4 linked regions of the Saccharomyces cerevisiae S288C genome follow. Changing the gene in region 4 together with the main gene of any one other region gives a genetic interaction. Each region holds a gene or a part of one and is shown on either strand. Other genes may lie near its edges.

Evidence for each region.
Region 1: mutations in SMC1 (region 4) and MCM16 together harm fitness more than expected from each alone (negative genetic interaction), as found in Saccharomyces cerevisiae (5 studies listed by BioGRID).
Region 2: mutations in SMC1 (region 4) and CTF3 together harm fitness more than expected from each alone (negative genetic interaction), as found in Saccharomyces cerevisiae (5 studies listed by BioGRID).
Region 3: mutations in SMC1 (region 4) and CSM3 together harm fitness more than expected from each alone (negative genetic interaction), as found in Saccharomyces cerevisiae (5 studies listed by BioGRID).

Annotation. Positions count from the first base shown.
Region 1 is NC_001148.4:654,757-658,235, reverse strand, and holds MCM16 (Mcm16p), read right to left. Parts: upstream 1,438-3,479; coding exon 892-1,437; downstream 1-891. Other genes in the region: MSF1 (phenylalanine--tRNA ligase), read right to left, coding at 1-707; THP3 (Thp3p), read left to right, coding at 1,684-3,096; 60S ribosomal protein eL43 RPL43A, read right to left, coding at 3,389-3,479. UniProt on the Saccharomyces cerevisiae protein: Component of the kinetochore, a multiprotein complex that assembles on centromeric DNA and attaches chromosomes to spindle microtubules, mediating chromosome segregation and sister chromatid segregation during meiosis and mitosis.
Region 2 is NC_001144.5:877,666-882,843, reverse strand, and holds CTF3 (Ctf3p), read right to left. Parts: upstream 3,122-5,178; coding exon 920-3,121; downstream 1-919. Other genes in the region: leucine--tRNA ligase NAM2, read left to right, coding at 1-777; CSR1 (Csr1p), read right to left, coding at 3,336-4,562; YLR379W-A (uncharacterized protein), read right to left, coding at 5,128-5,178. UniProt on the Saccharomyces cerevisiae protein: Component of the central kinetochore, which mediates the attachment of the centromere to the mitotic spindle by forming essential interactions between the microtubule-associated outer kinetochore proteins and the centromere-associated inner kinetochore proteins.
Region 3 is NC_001145.3:365,130-368,434, forward strand, and holds CSM3 (Csm3p), read left to right. Parts: upstream 1-1,851; coding exon 1,852-2,805; downstream 2,806-3,305. Other genes in the region: FG-nucleoporin NUP116, read right to left, coding at 1-1,576; ribosome biogenesis protein ERB1, read right to left, coding at 2,965-3,305. UniProt on the Saccharomyces cerevisiae protein: Forms a fork protection complex (FPC) with TOF1 which is required for chromosome segregation during meiosis and DNA damage repair. FPC coordinates leading and lagging strand synthesis and moves with the replication fork.
Region 4 is NC_001138.5:117,210-123,939, reverse strand, and holds SMC1 (cohesin subunit SMC1), read right to left. Parts: upstream 4,512-6,730; coding exon 834-4,511; downstream 1-833. Other genes in the region: proteasome activator BLM10, read right to left, coding at 1-461; SCF ubiquitin ligase complex subunit CDC4, read right to left, coding at 5,456-6,730. UniProt on the Saccharomyces cerevisiae protein: Involved in chromosome cohesion during cell cycle and in DNA repair. Central component of cohesin complex. The cohesin complex is required for the cohesion of sister chromatids after DNA replication.

The sequences.
Region 1 (3,479 bases), on a different chromosome or scaffold from region 4:
ACCTCCAGATCGGACATATACTCTTGTTTAGGATTATTTTCTTTCAAAGGTATAGTATCATCGTCAACCGTAATCTTTACATTTTCTTTATTTAAAAGGTTCTCTACCTGTCTGATATCTTCACGGATTTTCTCGATATACATTGGCTCCTTTACGCCCACATCAGCCTTCGTTCGTTTCCAAATTGTGGCTCCTTCCATTTGGTGGAATACCGGATAGTGAGTTTTGTCAATTTCATCTCTTCTGTACACATCTGCAGATATTAAAAATCCACTTTTAATATTATCTGAATCGTTTCTTATTTTTTGAAAGCACTCTAATTCGTGGGCTGAAGTATGTGTTCTCAGTAGGTGCGTCTCATTTATATAATATGTGTCAGATTTTGATCTTCCAGGATGATCCTTAGGAAACCCTAAAGAATCGAAGTTTTCCATTGTGGTTACCACGGGCTTGAAATTATTAAAGATCTTAAATGTGTTGTCGACTGAGTTTAATTTCTTTTCAATTAGATCGCGAAGAATGCCTACTGGATGTGATTCTTTCAAATGTAATGATCTGTCGGTAAGCTTTATTATTGAATCTGTAACATTGGTAGTCTGTGGGTCGGTCTTGTATTTTATGCCATTGATTTCTACATGTGGAACTTTAAGGGTTGAATATAAGCGATAAAGACCAGTCCTGGTCTTCATCATTCTATTGAGAAACATTGAAGTTACCTCCATTGGCAGATATTTTTTTATCCCTTCTCTCTCTCTGAATTTGTGAGTAGTTCCTTAATTTTCCTACCTTTTTTTTTTCTCGAAGATTCAAACCTTAATTAAGTAACTATTATTATTAGCGTTGTCAGTATTAAAATTATTTGAATATATAAATAGCATTAGAAGATAAAAATCAAATTGTGTAGGATATGTTTGTATATCCGGAGTGTATCTGTAAAGCAATCATCAATTCTTGTATCGTTTCATTTTCCTTTTCTACCTCAACCTGTTTTCCAGCAGTATCACTGTCGTCTGGCGGTATAGTTGGTTTGGGAAACTTCGACGATAACTCAATCAGTTTTGACATCAATTCGTCGCGTTCTGCTCTTGATTCAATCAACTGTTTGTGCAATGAAGATTGAGCACCTAACGATTGCAAGAGCTCATAGTCCAGAGAATTGCTTTCTTCTAAGAGGTTTTGTAGCTTGGTGAATAATACATTGGTATTGTCCGGTTTCTCCAACAGTCTAATAAGAAGAGCAGTCTTTTCAAGATTAATTTGAAGTTGGTGTCTAATTTCCAAGAGGCGCTGTTGAGTATGGCTTAATATTACCGCATGATTGTGTTTTCTAATCAAGTACAACCTGTCCAACGTGATCAACAACTCTCTATATACCTCCACGTGCTCCTTTTCTAATTGCTGGATTCTTTCCCATTGTTTTTCACTACTGTTTGTCATCTGTCAAAATGGTATGAACTCCCCACGACAGGAAGAAATGGTTAGAAGTATCTAGATATTGCACACTGTATGTGATGACGGCTATCATTTATTGTCAACATGCATCATCCTTCACGGTTTGGAATTTTTGAGTAAAAAAGGACTGAACATGACAAAAAATAGAGATTTGGCTGTCTCGTAAAGAAACCATAGAATACAAGGAGTAGGAACCGTTCGGCAGCGAGTAGTTGAGTTTCCAATAACATTATGCAGAATCCTTACGGTCACTTTACTAACAATACCACGGAGGACAGGGAAGCTTCATCTCAAGGAGGACCATTCGGCCAAAGCCTGAATAGGCCCCTAGATTACGCCGGATCTTTCCCTTCTCTGACATACAATAATAATAATTTCATTGCCAATCAACAACCTTCTCTGCCTTTGCCAGAACCACGTTTATCTTGGAACAACGTCAACCAGGTTTCTAACCCTTTGATGGTAACACCGCTTCCGGGATTACAAAAACGTATGAACAAAAACATTAAAAAGAAATTACCAAGAGTATCTAAGAAGGCATCAGCCCTTTCTAACGGGGTATCCGGCAATGTAATGAGCAACAGTAATATAGTAGGGCATGGTGCTGTAGGTTCGGCATCGGGATGGAAAGTTGAAATGGGTGGCAGTGATGAATTAGAGAGAAGAAAGAGAAGGGCAGAAAGATTCAGTCAGGGACCATCAGCGACGACGAATAGTAACGATAATTTGAATGAAGACTTTGCCAACCTAAATGCCATTAGTAGCAAATCTCATCAATATGACAAAAAGATTCATGTGGTAGGGCGTTGCCAAACTCTAGAGAAATCTTATCTGAGACTAACTTCAGAGCCTAATCCTGACTTGATCAGACCCCCAAATATTCTACAAAAAATGTATTGCTTGTTAATGGACAAATACCAATCTAAAACAGCCACTTATACTTACCTTTGCGACCAGTTTAAATCAATGAGACAAGACCTAAGAGTGCAAATGATCGAGAACTCTTTCACTATTAAAGTGTACCAAACGCATGCACGTATTGCCTTGGAGAACGGAGATCTTGGGGAATTTAATCAATGTCAAAATAGGATTATGGCGTTATTCGAAAACCCTACAATACCAAAAAAATCTTATTCCGAATTTATATGCTATTCTGTTTTGTATTCGATGTTAACCGAAGACTATCCGTCGATTTCTCATTTAAAACTTAAGTTAATAGACGATGGCTCTTCGGAAATCTTGGAGGACGAACATGTCAAAATGATATTTGAGTTGAGCGATATGAAACTAGTCGGCAATTATCACTACTTCATGAAAAACTACCTAAAACTGCACAAATTTGAAAAATGTCTAATTAATTCATTCTTAAATCTAGAAAAGTTGATATTTTTGACCATAATTTGTAAGAGTTATAACCAGGTCAATTTAGATTTTGTTAAAAGTGAGTTTAATTTCAACAGTATAGAAGAGACAACAAATTTCTTGAATGAGCAAAACTTGACGGAGTTCATATTAAACAAACAAATCACTGACAGTAATGGCAAAAGTAGTAATATCAAGATTTTGAATACCAAGGGATGTAGGGTACAGTTGATACAAAATTATATGAAGTCTAAAAAAATTGATATAAAGGGACAAAAATGATGAAGAGGGAAACGGGATGCCTAAGGTATATGATTTTGGTTTTTTTTTTTTTTTTTTTTTCTAAATAAATATATACATATTCACAACACATAAAATCTCTTGAGTGCATTCATCGATGTCACTTTCTTCTGGAAATCAGAGCCTAGATACCAGGCTTAAGGCCCCCACGAACAGTACGTGAGCTATTGGCCATTGTTCCTGCCCAAAAAACAGACATTTACTGGAAAAGTTTTTGAGTTATAATTAATTATATAGTTGTTTTATGATTTTTATACATATAATTAAAATAAAATCAAGCTTCAACCATTTCTCTCAATCTTCTGATGGTAGATCTAACGGTGGCGGCAGCAGCAGTGGAGACAGTGTAAGCACCACCAGCGACG
Region 2 (5,178 bases), on a different chromosome or scaffold from region 4:
GGCAAGGTTCCGGTAGTCTCTTATGAAAAAATGTCGAAATCTAAATACAATGGTGCAGATCCAAATGAATGTATTTTAAGACATGGACCTGATGCTACGAGAGCACATATCCTCTTCCAAAGTCCAATTGCAGATGCCCTGAATTGGGATGAATCCAAGATTGTTGGTATAGAACGTTGGTTGCAGAAGGTTCTTCATTTGACCAAAAATATTCTCAGTCTCGAGAAGGATTTGGCAATAAGTAAAGACTACAAGACCCCGACCGACTTAAATGATGCAGAAGTGAAATTTCACAACGATTTCCAACGCTTCTTGAAATCAATTACGGAATCATTTGAAGTTAATCTATCGTTAAACACTGTAATATCTGATTATATGAAGCTAACCAATATTTTAGAAAGTGCATTGAAAAAAGGTGAAGTAAGGAATGAAATGATAGTACAGAATTTACAAAAGTTGGTAACCGTTATATATCCTGCTGTCCCGTCAATTTCAGAAGAAGCTGCAGAGATGATCAACTCCCAAATGGAATGGAACCAATACCGCTGGCCAGAAGTTGAGCGCACTACTGAGTCCAAATTCAAAAAGTTTCAAATTGTGGTAAATGGCAGAGTCAAATTCATGTACACGGCTGACAAAAACTTTTTGAAATTAGGTAGGGATGCTGTTATTGAAACTTTGATGAACTTACCGGAAGGGAGAATGTATTTGATGAATAAAAAAATCAAAAAATTTGTCATGAAATTCAATGTGATTAGTTTCTTATTCCACAAGTAATCATATGACGCCATGAATTTACCACTAGTGCTTGTAAATAGTTAAATATTAATGCCTTATAGATATAAATTGTCCAATCTCCTTTTTGGAAGTTATAATATATATATATATATATATATGTATATAAATGTGGATGCATATTCTAAGAATTTTGAACGCTATACTTTGAGAGACTCTTCAAATATGTAAACAAGAATGCTGCAATGTCTCTATATGGATTAGCAGTGTTACTCAAATGCATTAAAATCTTTACTCTCAAGTCGTGAATGTTATTAACGCCCTTTATCCAACCATGCTGGCCAATCTCATCATGATGAACTCGAAAGAAATTGTTAAACGTCTCTTCATTTATGATCCCACTGGTGAATTTTATTTTGGTATTTTCGGCCGTTTCCAGTCGTCTTAGAATAATAATACATATGTAGGATAGCGCTGGTATACCAGTTATCGTGAAAAATTTAGCGTTCTTGAAGTCTGCAGTTGGGATATAAAGATTCTCCAAAATCTGCTTAAAGAAATCTGGTGAGACTCCAAACAAACTTTTGGATGACAGAACTTTATTCCTGTAAAGATAATTTGTCAAATCCATGATATATTGGTTCTGCATCCGAACGAATTTGTTTGTTGACGGGTATTGCATCAATTTATTTTTCGTAGCAACCAAGTACCTGCACGCAGCTGATAATAGCAAAGGATCGTCCGAACTGAACACTTTATTCATGATGTCAGGGCCCACAATCAAATATTGGATCGCATAATCCGACTTCGTTTGTTTCGACAGTTGAGTTAAAATATCTAACGAGCTGATGAAAGCCATCGTAGAAAATCTGTTTGAAGTAGCATTGTTAAAGATTTTGTCCAAAGTTAGCAGGCTTTGCATGTCATGCAGTAGTGTCAACCCGAGTGCTATCAATTTATCATCTAAAACCCAGTTTGTAATCATTTGTAAAACGTAAAAACAAGTTTCAGAAAATGTGCAATTATTGTCGTGACCATCTCGTGTACTCCACATAAAAATACTGGCCATAAACTTAACGAAAAATTCCCTTGTACCACTGATTAGTTCAGGCTTCCATAATGGCAAGATTCCGCCACAAACCTTTTTCAACGTAAGCTCATCGAGTTTTAAGTATTTCAAATTACAAAACGTTTGAATAATGCGAGAAGACAGTTTATTATCCATTGAGGACACCGAAATAATAATGGGAATAACTTCTTGCGGAGTCTCTATCTGATGTGCAAAGCATCGCTTCAATTGCCAAATGCACCATTCGTATGGTGATGACGACTCATCGCGGCTATTTTTAATGAGAATGATACTAGAGTACAAGTGTTTGAGAGAATCCCTAGACATGACTTTTCGCGGCAGTAAAACATTGCTGTTTAAAGATGGCTTCATCATGTAATCTACATCATTGGGAATATGCAATTGTGGCCAGTTTTGAGCTAATTGTTCCAATGAAGTGACATCCCAAAGAGAGACCGTACTGTCAGAGGGAACATATTCTGGAAGTGATTGAAGTCGAAGTGGGTATATAGAATCAGCACCTAATTGATGAATTTCACTCAAGTACATGTCAATTGTGTTTTGGACAGTGTCAGCGGGAAAATTAGCGGGATGTGCTCTGGATAATATTCTTTTCAAAATGGATAGGAAATGCGCATCCAATTTTAAGTTTCGATGACTTTTCAAAGTCTTTCTATTGCAATTGATGGTAATTATTGATTCAGTAATCTGACTGGATGCGCCCACGAGACATTGAAATCGTTGCAAAATAAGCGTCGCACTACCGGGAGCGTCCCGGTAACCTGGATGCATAGCGCATCTCTTGATAATAGACAACTTCCAAGGTTTGACATCAACGGGCGTCGTGGCTTGCCAAATAACCAGGGGAGTTATCCACTTCTGTAAGAACGAGAATTGCCATAAATGTAACCAGATAGAACTGGATATATTGTGTTCTCGTTCTGAATGTACAGGAAATAGGAAATAAACATGCACTAACCATTTGCACAACGCAGATTGTAGGACCGGAGGCGTTTGTATGCGATATCTAGAGAATACCGTTGGCGTACCGAGATGGTTAATAATCTCCAAAAGAAGTTCCTTCGTCAAGTAGCCATCAGGTAAAAAGCAATTTTCGACGATGTACACTTTTGTAACTGTGTCTATTATGGAAGTTTCACAGAGTAACCTTACAAGTGCTTGTAGTTGCGGCGAAGAAAGACCATATTGTTTTGATTTTTCGTATAGCAGGCTTAAAGTGGTTTTAAGGGCCTGTGGTGGCGTTCGTTCGTTAGCATTCGTTAGTGAGAGGATGATATCATCTAGTATAAGACTCATTCATGTAAAAAAAACAAAAATTGAAGGGCGAACCGTATTAGCAGGCGTATTGTTTTTCATTTCATAGTTGATTGTTTTTGATAATAAATGATTCTATAATTTTTCGCGTATTATACAAATAAAAGTAAAAGAAAAATAAGATAGAGGGACATATAAAGAAATAGATGTTTTTATAATAAAGGTCTATACAGTATGGAGCGTCGCGTGGCTTGGCTCAAACTTTTAGAGAACCATTGTAGTCATAAACGGATCTTGATCTGATGTACGGATCTAACTTGGAGTAGTTTTCACAAAGAGCGGTGGAAAGTTGTACTCTTTTCTCCTGCAGTTGAATGTATGCTGGATCGTTCAATGGCTGGTGTTCAATCCATTGGGCAGTGACAGTCAAGAATTGTTCGACCAATTCTTCTCTCTCCTTTTCGATCATAGCGCGAGTCTCGGTGTCTTTCAGATGGACGTCCAAAGAGCCATCTGGTGGAGTGTAATGATCCAAATCATTGTCATTTTCTCCGCCCAGATACCTAGGGATGTATTGGGGTTGGATAAACTTGTGCAATTCGTCGATATTCTTAGTGAAAACAATCTTGGACGCGACGACCGGATCCAGCCAATTCTTGATGATGTTCCAAATCGGGTTAAAGATCCAAGGGGCCTTATGGATAAGTAGATGGCCCAAAGATTCCGGGTAGTGAGCCTCAAAACAAGTGATTAGAAACTTGACGGGGGCATAGTCCATATTGGACATGGAGAACCCGTTCAGATCGAACAAGATGGTGGTGGATGCGGGGTAGTTTTCTTTGAAGAAAAGCTTTGATTGCTCGATGACCAACAGGGAGAATTTTTCCAGCTCCTGTTCAGTTTGGTCGGAAGAATGATGTAATCTAGGTCTCACAAGGATGACTGGCCTCATGTCATTGTCGTAACCCTGGATGGTGGCCTTTTGCAATTCCAGGTTCTTAATGACACCGGTCTCGTTATTCTCATACACAGCTCTTTCGCCACCGTTTATGATCTTGTTAATAGTGTCCTTGCGCCAGTACAAATCGTGACCCAACATGGCGATGGTCTTGTCTGCGTTCCACTTTCTGGCTCTGATAAACTTCAAAATGGTGGCGTCTGGAGTTTCATTCTTGATATCGTGCCAGAACTGCTTCTTGGTCGTTTGCGGGTCTAGATTGGCTAGTGCCTTGTGTATCTTGCCCTTTTCATAGAGGTGTGCCGCTTCAGCGGCTTCGCTGGAGTCCTGTGTATGGTCTGAGGACTGAAGCTTGCTAAACCAGGATGATTTCTTCTTCTTAGCAGGGGTGGACGAGGAGTGGAGGGAGTTATTAGGGAAAATATGAGTTCCATCCACGGGAACTTGCCACAGATGGAAAAGGTGTGTCCAAATTTGCTTAAGGACGACCTCCTGGTCTTCGGTCAACTGTCTATCAAAGGACATAATCTAGTTTATATGTGGTCTTCTTATGTGCTTTTGTGCTTTTATGCTTCTGTGTGCGTACGTATCCGTATATTTGTATGTTTGATTTTGTTTAAAGGAGCGTAAGTGACAAGTGCCAAGATTTAAAGAGCGTACCAAACGCTATTGTTTTCACCATGTGAACAAAGCTGTAACGATTTTATGTACGTACGCAAGAGGACGATGCCGATTGAAGGCAGGAGCTCAACAAACACGAAACAAAACAACGAAGAAAGAAAAGAAATATATCAGAGAACAGAGACCGCCTCGTTTAGGGCCGCACGTATACCGCGCACTCTTGGGACGCAGGGACGCGATGGCCTTGCCATGTGCAAGATAAACAAGCTGTCAACGGCACAAGTAGCGTTTATTTGAGACCTGCTTGCTTTAGCTTGCATCATCTCTTGTTCTTCTTACAGTGGTCGCCTTAGACCATCCCATTAGCCAGTTCATGGCCAACTCTCCGTGTGACATGACGAGTGGTTTTCCCGAGTGGAAAGGTTCAGAAATGCATCTGGATTCCGATGGCATACGGTAATTGCCGGCATTATAACACTGTACTACCGAATCCGTCGTTCGTCACCATATTAATTTTCAC
Region 3 (3,305 bases), on a different chromosome or scaffold from region 4:
CAAAAAGACTATTATTCTGTTGTGGTTGTTGTAACCCATTTTGGCCAAATGGCTGATTATTATTTTGATTGGTCTGGCCAAACAATCCACCAGGTTGGGACTGCGACTGGTTGTTTTGTTGTCCGAATAATCCCCCGGTTGATTGCTGTTGTTGGTTATTTTGCCCAAATATAGAATTATTTTGGGCATTACCAGACGCAAAAGTGGATGCTCCCTGCTGTTGTCCAAACAGTCCTCCTGCAGGTTTGCTTCCAAATAATCCGCCTTGTTGCTGTGGCTGGCCAAATGCGTTTGAGGAGTTTTGTTGTCCAAATAATCCGGATTGGTTCTGGCTTTGGTTATTCTGACCGAACAATCCTCCAGCGTTGGAATTTTGTTGCTGGCCAAATAACCCTCCTCCACTTTGCTGCTGATTGGTTTGCCCAAATAAGCCACCAGTGGTACCAGTGGGGTTGGTATTCATTCCGAATGCTTTTGAACCAGCAGATTGTCCAAATAGTCCACCAGAAGCAGGTTTAGCTCCAAAAAGAGCACCAGTGCCTTGCTGTTGGCCGAAAGCGCCACCATTTGCGTTAGCGTTTGATTGACCAAATATACCACCACTACCTTGTTGTGTTTGTTGTTGGGGAAAGGCACCACGATTCACCTGACCAAAGGCTCCCCCGTTACTGACATTATTCGCCCCAAATGAATTTTGCTGTTGACCAAATAATCCTCCGTTTGTATTTGAGTTCTGCTGGCCGAAAAGGCCTGTATTATTAGTGCCGTTTGTTGGGTTGTTAGTTGTATTACCAAACAATCCCCCGGAAGTGGCAGGTTTATTTGCTCCAAATGCAGAATTTCCTGAGAGGTTAGTAGAGCTTCCAAACAATCCTGTAGAGTTGGTCGCTCCAGAGCCAAAGCCACCACCACTTCCAGTTCCGGTTCCAAACATGCCTGTTGCTGGCTTTTGACCAAATAATCCTCCTGTTGTAGCAGAAGTAGTGGAGTTATTATTACCCATAATTCCAAATCCAGTATTGGTAGTTCCTTGAGGATTGTTAAAAGTAGTACCAGTGCCATTTTGACTGGTACCGAATTTTCTACCAGCTTGGTAATCTTGAAATCTCAATTCTTCAAAAGAAAAATTTCTGTATTCAGGCATACAGGTGATACTTTGGAAGACGTTGATGACACCTGTGGTTGGATCCTTCTCTTCGAATGTAGTAAAAGGTTTAATGCTTGTACCTGCAGTAGAATTGGGCACAACAGAAGCGGAACCAGCAGAAAGTGCTGTGTTATTACCCATTCCACCGAAGATCGAGCCAGAGGCATTGTTGTTCGTCAATTGACTTTGACCAAAAGGAGTACCATTTGCTGTAGTCGAGCCTGACATTCCGAAGGGAGAATTAGAAGTTTGGTTACCAAAGTTACCAAACGCAGGTGCTTGTGTTGTATTTGTTTGCTGACTGAGGCCGAAAGCAGAAGTGTTTGCTACTGGTTGTTGTTGTTGCTGTTGGCCACCAAAGGTTGATCCTGTTGAGCCAAATGGCTGTGTTGTTGCGCTGGGGAATGCGCCACGGCTAACTCCAAACATAATAATGTTTTAAAAAAGAAATCTTCGAAGCTGAATGGTGCCTCTCAGTTGCCGGGATCTCTATGCAATGCTGATAGTTTCCTTTGCGACCTTATGACACTTTATTAACTCTAAGTATAATTTAGTTTTGTTCTTTTTCTAATGAGCATGGTAAGGAAAAATGCCGGGTAATGATAATCTGCAAAAGTGACAATAATAAACTGACGCGTAACAAGATCAATGATATACTGGATTAAAATGCCATGAAAACGTGAACAGAAACTTTTATTGAGGTCATGGATCAAGATTTTGACAGTTTATTACTAGGTTTCAATGACTCCGATAGTGTCCAAAAAGACCCAACTGTACCAAATGGCTTGGATGGTTCAGTAGTTGATCCTACCATTGCGGATCCAACCGCAATTACAGCTAGAAAGAGAAGGCCTCAAGTAAAATTAACAGCCGAAAAACTACTCAGTGATAAAGGTTTACCATATGTTTTGAAAAATGCACATAAAAGGATACGAATTTCCTCAAAAAAAAACTCATATGACAACTTATCAAATATTATTCAGTTTTACCAGCTTTGGGCACATGAATTGTTTCCCAAGGCAAAATTTAAGGATTTTATGAAGATCTGTCAAACAGTAGGTAAAACAGATCCAGTTCTTAGAGAATATAGAGTCAGCCTTTTTAGGGACGAGATGGGCATGAGTTTCGATGTTGGCACACGGGAGACTGGGCAAGACCTGGAAAGACAATCACCTATGGTTGAAGAACATGTCACTTCCGCGGAAGAGAGGCCTATTGTCGCAGATAGTTTTGCGCAAGACAAAAGGAATGTAAACAATGTCGATTACGATAATGACGAAGATGACGATATCTATCACCTTTCTTATCGCAACAGAAGAGGACGAGTTTTGGACGAACGTGGGAATAATGAAACGGTACTTAACAACGTTGTGCCGCCTAAGGAAGATTTGGATGCATTATTGAAGACATTCAGGGTACAAGGGCCCGTTGGCCTTGAAGAAAATGAGAAGAAGCTCTTATTAGGATGGCTAGATGCGCATAGAAAAATGGAAAAAGGCTCTATGACTGAAGAAGACGTTCAACTGATTCAAAGTTTGGAAGAGTGGGAAATGAATGATATAGAGGGACAACATACTCATTATGATTTATTGCCAGGGGGAGATGAGTTTGGCGTAGATCAAGATGAGTTGGATGCTATGAAGGAAATGGGCTTTTAGCAATGTCATTGAAGGTAATAATCCAAACGTGCGTGTGGGCATCTATACATATAGGTTTATATATATTGTGTAAATAAAGCTTGTAGAAAGAGCCTGGTTCGAGTGTTTGATTTTTTCTTCTTGGGCGTTATTATACAATATCTACTTCAAATTATTTATCTAGGTGGTCCATAAGCGAGCCGTATTATCAGCACCGGCAGAAAACAGCCAAGCTTCCCTCGGATGCCAAATAGCATCAAGAACACCCAGACTATTGATTACTTTATGACCGGTTAGTTTCTTTAGTGGCACAATCATCGGATTTTTCATCATGTCATCATAAACAGTGGCATGGAAAACATGTATGGTACCGTCATCAGCGGCAGAGCTGAATAGAGGTAACTTTTTGTGGAAATTCACACTTCTGACGGCTTTTTCATGATATCTTAGTGTCTTGTAAGGTGTGCTAGCCAAATCCAGGTCGTGCCATAAAACTCTCTTGTCAAACGATGACGCAATTA
Region 4 (6,730 bases):
AATGAGCTGATCGCAATATAAAGATTAACTAAGACATGGCACAAGTATTTCGCTTGATCTTCATGACTTTCAGTCTTATATGGTAAGAACTCTTCAATAGGAAATTCAGGCCTCACGGATCTGCTGAACCAGCGAGATGATGGGTCATATATATTCTTCATATGCTGGGCCCTGTCACTAACATAATCCAGCGTATAATGCTGTAGCCTTTCATTCAAAAGGGAAGTGGAATCCATGCCATTGAACAGTTTTTGGTCCTGTAGCGTTGGGGTAGCAGACCTTGCTCTTAGCGGAGAATGTGGTCTTCCGTCTGCGGCATATAGCCTAGACTTTTTACGTTTTATCTCGCCCTGAGAAGAACTGGGCCTTCCTGGACTTCTCTCAAAGCGCTTCAATTGGGATAAGGTCTTGTTAGTAATGGGAATGGGTGATTTGATATCATCGTCATTGTTAGCGGTCATTGGCGGTAACAAATCGAAAAATTAATGTGCAAAGCTAGCTAACGAACAATGATAAAGTTTATGTATGCAAATACAGCTACAATATTCAATGTTCTTCTCGTAGTTTTTGCTAAGATCTAATGCAGCTTTATTATCAAGCCCTGATGACAGACTTTGCAAATATCGTGTACTTCTCCACTGGTAAGAGATGAGAAAGAACTTAAAAAATTCTTTTCTAAGGGATACCTCGGCCGCCACCCACCACAATTGGGTTACCCTGGAAAAAAAGTGACGTTATTAATATTATTGTTACTATGATATTGCACTAGCTAGTTGACCTATATAGATATTATTAGTTATTTGACGGGTTATAGCAGAGGTTGGTTTCATAGATTATTCTGCGTAATTGCTCAAGTCCAAAGTTATGATCTTCGACGAGTTTTCTTGTTGCTGTCTGTAAACCCCAACGAGAGCGTCAGATTTTTCAAACATGGTGTTCTTCAATGAAATGACAATGAATTGGAGATCTGGATTACGGTGCCTTCTTATATAGGCAGCAATTCTCTGGACGTTAGTAATGTCTAGGGCTGCGTCCACTTCGTCCAGCACGAAGAAGGGACTAGGCTGGTAGGAATTAATAGCAAATAATAGAGCTAATGCAGCTACGGTTTTTTCACCACCAGAAAGATATTCCATGTCTTTGAATCTTTTAAGAGGCGGAGTGGCATGATATTTGATTCCCGCATTGAACGGTTCATCTTCGTCTTCTATGGTTAAAGAAGCGTTACCACCGGCCAATTCCACATTGGAGTTGGGATTTTTAGTAAGTTCCCTGTAGATTGCGTCTAAATGGTCGCTCACATAATCAAATGTCTTTTCGAACAGTTCCTTTCTTTTTTTCTTAATTTTTAGGAACTGGTTTAATATTTTCTTTTCTTCGGCCTTTAGTTGTTCTGTTTCGTTATTAATCACTTCAAACCTTCCTTCCGCCTCGTCGTATCTCTCCAAAGCTCTTGCATTGGGCTGCAACTCGTTCAATATTTCCTCCACTTCATGAATCTTCTGCTCCAGCTCCTTCCTTGCCGAATCGGTATTGTTTTCTTTGTATTTTTTAGGTAGTCCTTTATAGTTTATATCGATACTGTTGGAAATTGTAATTGCTTCATTATCAGTGGAAGATATTGGTAAATCATCTATCGTTGTTTCAGATGATATAGGTATATTTATATTAGAAATTTTACAATTCTTTAACGCTGTTACTCTCTCTAAATCAAACTTTTCAATATCTTCCTTTATACCGTCTCTTTCCCTTTTTAAGACTTGTAAGTTGCTGTTCATGTCCTCTAGAATATCTTCGCTGGAATTTAATTCACTTTGCTTCGTTACAAATTTCTTCTGTAACTCATCTAAGTGATTTTTGTGTTCTTCCAATTTAGACTCTATTGATCCGATTTTCATTTCTATTGCATATTCCTGTTCTTCCAAAGACTTCATTTCAACTTGAGCATTCTCTAAATCCTTTTGCGCCTTTTCATATCTTCTTTGAGTAGTACTTAGTCTGTCTGTCTCAAACTGCAACTTATTTTCAACGGTCAAAATTTGTTTTTGTAACTGCTGTAATTCTTTAGATTGTTGTCTCATCAATTCACCGGAATGATTTTCATATTCTTTGATTGTAAAGCCAATTTTACTAGTGAATTCTTTGAAAATATTATTTTGTAAAGCCTCCTTCTCTTTCACTAAATTATCTTTAGTATTTTCTAAATCATCTAGCTTCTTCTTTAGTTCAGTTATCTTCGGTTGAATTTCTTTCTCTATCAAGTCATTATGGTACTTAATCTCTAAACGATTTTCATCCAAGGAGCGTTTTTGTTGTGTTACTTGAGTTCTCAAATTTGCTATGTCCGAGTTCAATAGTGAAACACTATTTTCAACTTCTCTTGCTCTGATTGAATTAGAGCGTTGACCGTTGGAAAGTTCATCGATTTGGATTAGTAATTTGTCTTTTAAAGACATTAAGCTTTGATATTCTTCTTTATCCCACCTATTATTGGCATCTCCTGATATACCACCTGTCATCAAACCGGCCTTGTGGATCAAAGCACCTTCAATTGTAACCAATTTGCCTCTTATGCCCTTTTTCCATTTCAGATCTTTAGCAATATTCAACGTATTACATATGATGGAATCGCCACACACATATTGCATCGCTTTTTCATATTCCGGCTCGTAGTCAATAGCATTAATTGATAAAATATAGTCTTGTGAGTCAGGCAATGATAATGTAGGTAACTCTGTCTCAATTGTGTCTAGTGGTATGAAAGATGCAGTGCCCGCACGTTGCTTCTTCAAAAATGCAATGCATTCTTGAGCTACGGTTAAATTTTCTACAATGACGGAATCAAAGTTCTTACCTAAGATGGTAGACACTGCCAAGCCATATTTCTCCTTTTTTGGGTGACAAAGATCATGAACAAGACCTTTTACTCCGGGGAAGAATCTTTTCAACATTGCTATATTTTCTCTTAGTTTTCTTTCTTTCATTGTTTCTCTTTGATTAGCACTCAAGTCATCGATCTTAACCAACGTTTCCCTCAACTTGAAATTTAAGTCGTATTCTTGATTATTAGCAGATTCAATATCAGATTGTAATTTTTTCAGCTCGTGCAAACGTTCAGTATGAAGGGCGTTTTTCTCATTCAAAGAAACTCTTAAATCGTTTAATTGCGTGTCCAATTTTTCTCCTGTTATAGAAAGCTCCTCCGTTATCCTTCTTTTAGAAATATCTGCCCTTTTGTTGAATCTCTCCAATTCCTCTTGGATTTCTCGCTTATCGTTGTTCAAAACGGCAATTTTTTCTTCTAGGATTGACCCACCTTCAGTCAGATATTTTTCATGTAAGCAATTATATGTCTTTAAATCATTTTCATTTAGCTTGAATTTGTCATAGTTTCTAGCAGATTGTTTGATTTCCTCTTCAAAAGCTTCCTTTGATCTGGTCACCACTTTTAGTTGTGTTTCAAATCTCTCCACATAAGTCTTCTGTCTTTGAAGATCTTTCTGTAAACTTTCGATTCTTTTTTCTATATGGGAAATTCGCTTCCCTGCTGCCTGTTGAGGAACCTTTATGAGCCGTAAATCCGAGACTAATTTTTCCTTATCCTTGAAGATATAATCTAATTTACTTTTTTGCTTAGAAATTACTGCGCTTTCTTTAACAAAGGAAGATTTTGAGCGTTGTAATGATTTCATCTCGTTATTTATTTTTCCCTTTAAAGACGATATTTCAGAGTTTAATGCGGACAGCTTGTCCGTTAGCTCCTCTTTTTGTTGCTCTAAATGATATAACTGCCATAGAGCCTGGAACTTCTGTAATTCATTTTTTTTGTCCAATTGTTTCCTATACTCCTCGTTCTTATTGATACCTTCTTTATATGTCTTCAATTCTCCATGGATCCTTCTCCTATTTTTTATAGATTCGGTTGCAGATTTGCTTAATTTCTCAATCTTTTCCTTCAACTCTTCATACTCCTTTTTGTATTGGATAGAACCTGATACTTCTTCAAACATTCTTGATAATTCTACGGGAGATTGTGCTGCAATTTGCTCAACATCACCCTGGAACACTAGAAAATTTTTGGCTTTGATAAGAATATTTTCGTTCTCAAGAAATATAGAATAGTCCTTATAGGAGACAGTTTTTCCATCAATTTTATAACTAGTGTCACCGTTTCTGGAAATTATCCTCATCAGCTCCACCAGTTTGTTACCTTTTTGATAAAATGCCTTCACGTATGCGGATTGTGGGTTCGAAGAGGCAGCGCCCTCGTTATCATAATCGTCACTATTCTCATCGTTTAGAACACCTCTATAGATTAAATCTTTCAAGATGTTTGACCTCAAATGATTACTCCGCACACCGAGTACGAATGAGATAGCATCCATCATATTCGATTTACCAGATCCGTTAGGACCGATAATACTTGTGAAATTCGACTCGCCGAATCCTACCTTGGTAACGCCTCTATAGGACTTGAAATTACTTAGTTCTAAGCCAACTAAACGTCCCATTGCGTCTCCTTGTGCCTGCTTTTTATCAATAGCCTCTGGATGCTTGCTTTAAGTGATTTTATGAGATGTGATATGAGCGTCTTCGGTCTTATAGAATCCAATACTCTATTCACTTTACGCGTTATTGATACTTTTTTTTTTTTTCCCGTACGTGTTTATCATGACAAACGATTACAATTTGAAGAGAAGAGCGATAGAACCAAGCCTTGGAACGTTGAAACATCTAACGATAAAGATTGTGTCATAAAAACACTCATTATTTACATTGTCCAATTTGAGAAATATCATGTGATAATATACTAGTAACATGAATACTACTAATTAGATAATATTAGAACTTTATTCTAACACAATTGTATTAGCTTTTGTATTTCTTCTGCCCACGGGAGGTTGAGCGTAGAACTTCCTAATTCTCAAGAGAATATCGATCTTTTTGAAAAACTGAAAACGGAACAGATGTTTCAAAACATAACGCTTGATAACTTGAAAAAAATCAGCAGAATCAACTTCTTAACGTTAAAAGTTCAAGAAAACTCTTGGGCCAAGAACCATCAGGAATATATTATTTAAAAAATGGTTGCTACTTTCAAGAGCATCGATTTCTTATTTGGCGCGTAAAGAAATTTTAGTCACTTCGGTTATTACGCATTTTTCCAGCTTTTATTTCTTTGATTGCTTTTATATTTTTTTAGATCATTTTCAAAACTTTCTTAAACCCTTCTCAACTAAAAACTTGTACTTTCCATATTTTCAGGGAAGAAACATTAATTAATAAACGGCACCCTTTTTGTAAACACAATTAAAATTGAACATACAAGCAGTTTAGCTGCAGTTTATATTCAATAAAATGTACGAAGTTGTTATTGTACTTTTTTACTGATTATATAACTACTTATTAAGCTATATTATCTAAGTATGAGTCAATGCTTATTCTCTGGGAAAGGTCATGGTATTATAGTTGTCCTCGTTAGACCCAAAGAAGTAGAAATGGATTCCAAAGACGACGACGAGGAGTTTACGGGATTGCTAACGTAGTTAATTTTTGAAGCTTTGCTGAAATCCAGAATTTCTAAAAAGCTCTGTCCATCTTTTTCAACTGCTGCAACAAGTGTTTTGCCCTTAAAATTAACCGACCAAATCTGATCAGCATCTTTTAGAATATTTGCGTGGACCAATTTCCCACTCCGTAGATTATAGATGTTGAACTGATTTTCCGATCCACTCACCAAAATATTATCCGATACATAAAATGTGGTAATTGCACTCAAATTGGTATGATGGTAGGAAAATTTTCTAGAGTAGTCGTTTGCGTCCCAACCCCTTATTGAACCGTCTGCAGCGGCACTGACCAAAAATTTGTCGGATAATCTTAATAAACCGACCAAAGCTGTATGACCCTGCAAAGTGTACATAGCACCAAGTATTTTGGCGCATGGCGATGCTGAATTTGTTGCGTAGGAACATTCTCCATTATTCCATATATTTTCCAAATCCCAAATTCTAATAGTGGTATCCATACTGGCAGAGATGCACCTTTTTCTTTCATGATCGTAGATTGTCGAATAAATACGATCCGTATGTCCACTTAAAATATACAAACATTTCATTTGCGCAACATCCCACACAATCAGTGTATTATCATAGGAGCCACTAACGACAATATTACCGTGGCCTGAGACAGTTCTTACAGATGCCATATGTCCTCTTAAAACACCAACAAAATATGGGTTCTCCTCAGGGGTATGAAAGACTAATGGATAATCATGTTCTTCCCCATGATCAGGAACGGAGGACTCCTTGGGCAATTTCCAAACGTGCAAAGTGTTATCTCTCGAACCAGTAACAATGTACTTGATATTTTTATATTCTACTATATCTAGGCACCTCACCGTAGAGTTATGACCTTTAAACACATGGGTACAACAACCTTTCTTAATATCCCAAACTCGCACCGTTCTGTCTGTAGAACCGCTGACTAAAATACCGCCATGGGCATACTTCAATGCCCAAACCCCACCATCATGACCTGATAGTTGTAGAAGAAATTTCTTGTTTATCGAATCATAAACTCTGATCATTTTGTCATCAGCCCCCGTAATGACATAATTATCTTCAAATTGCAAGCACGTAATAACACTCGTCATATGGCCTCTTAACGTGGTCCTTTGTGGTACAAACTTGGGATTGTACCAATTTTTTAAAATGAATATATTCTCCAG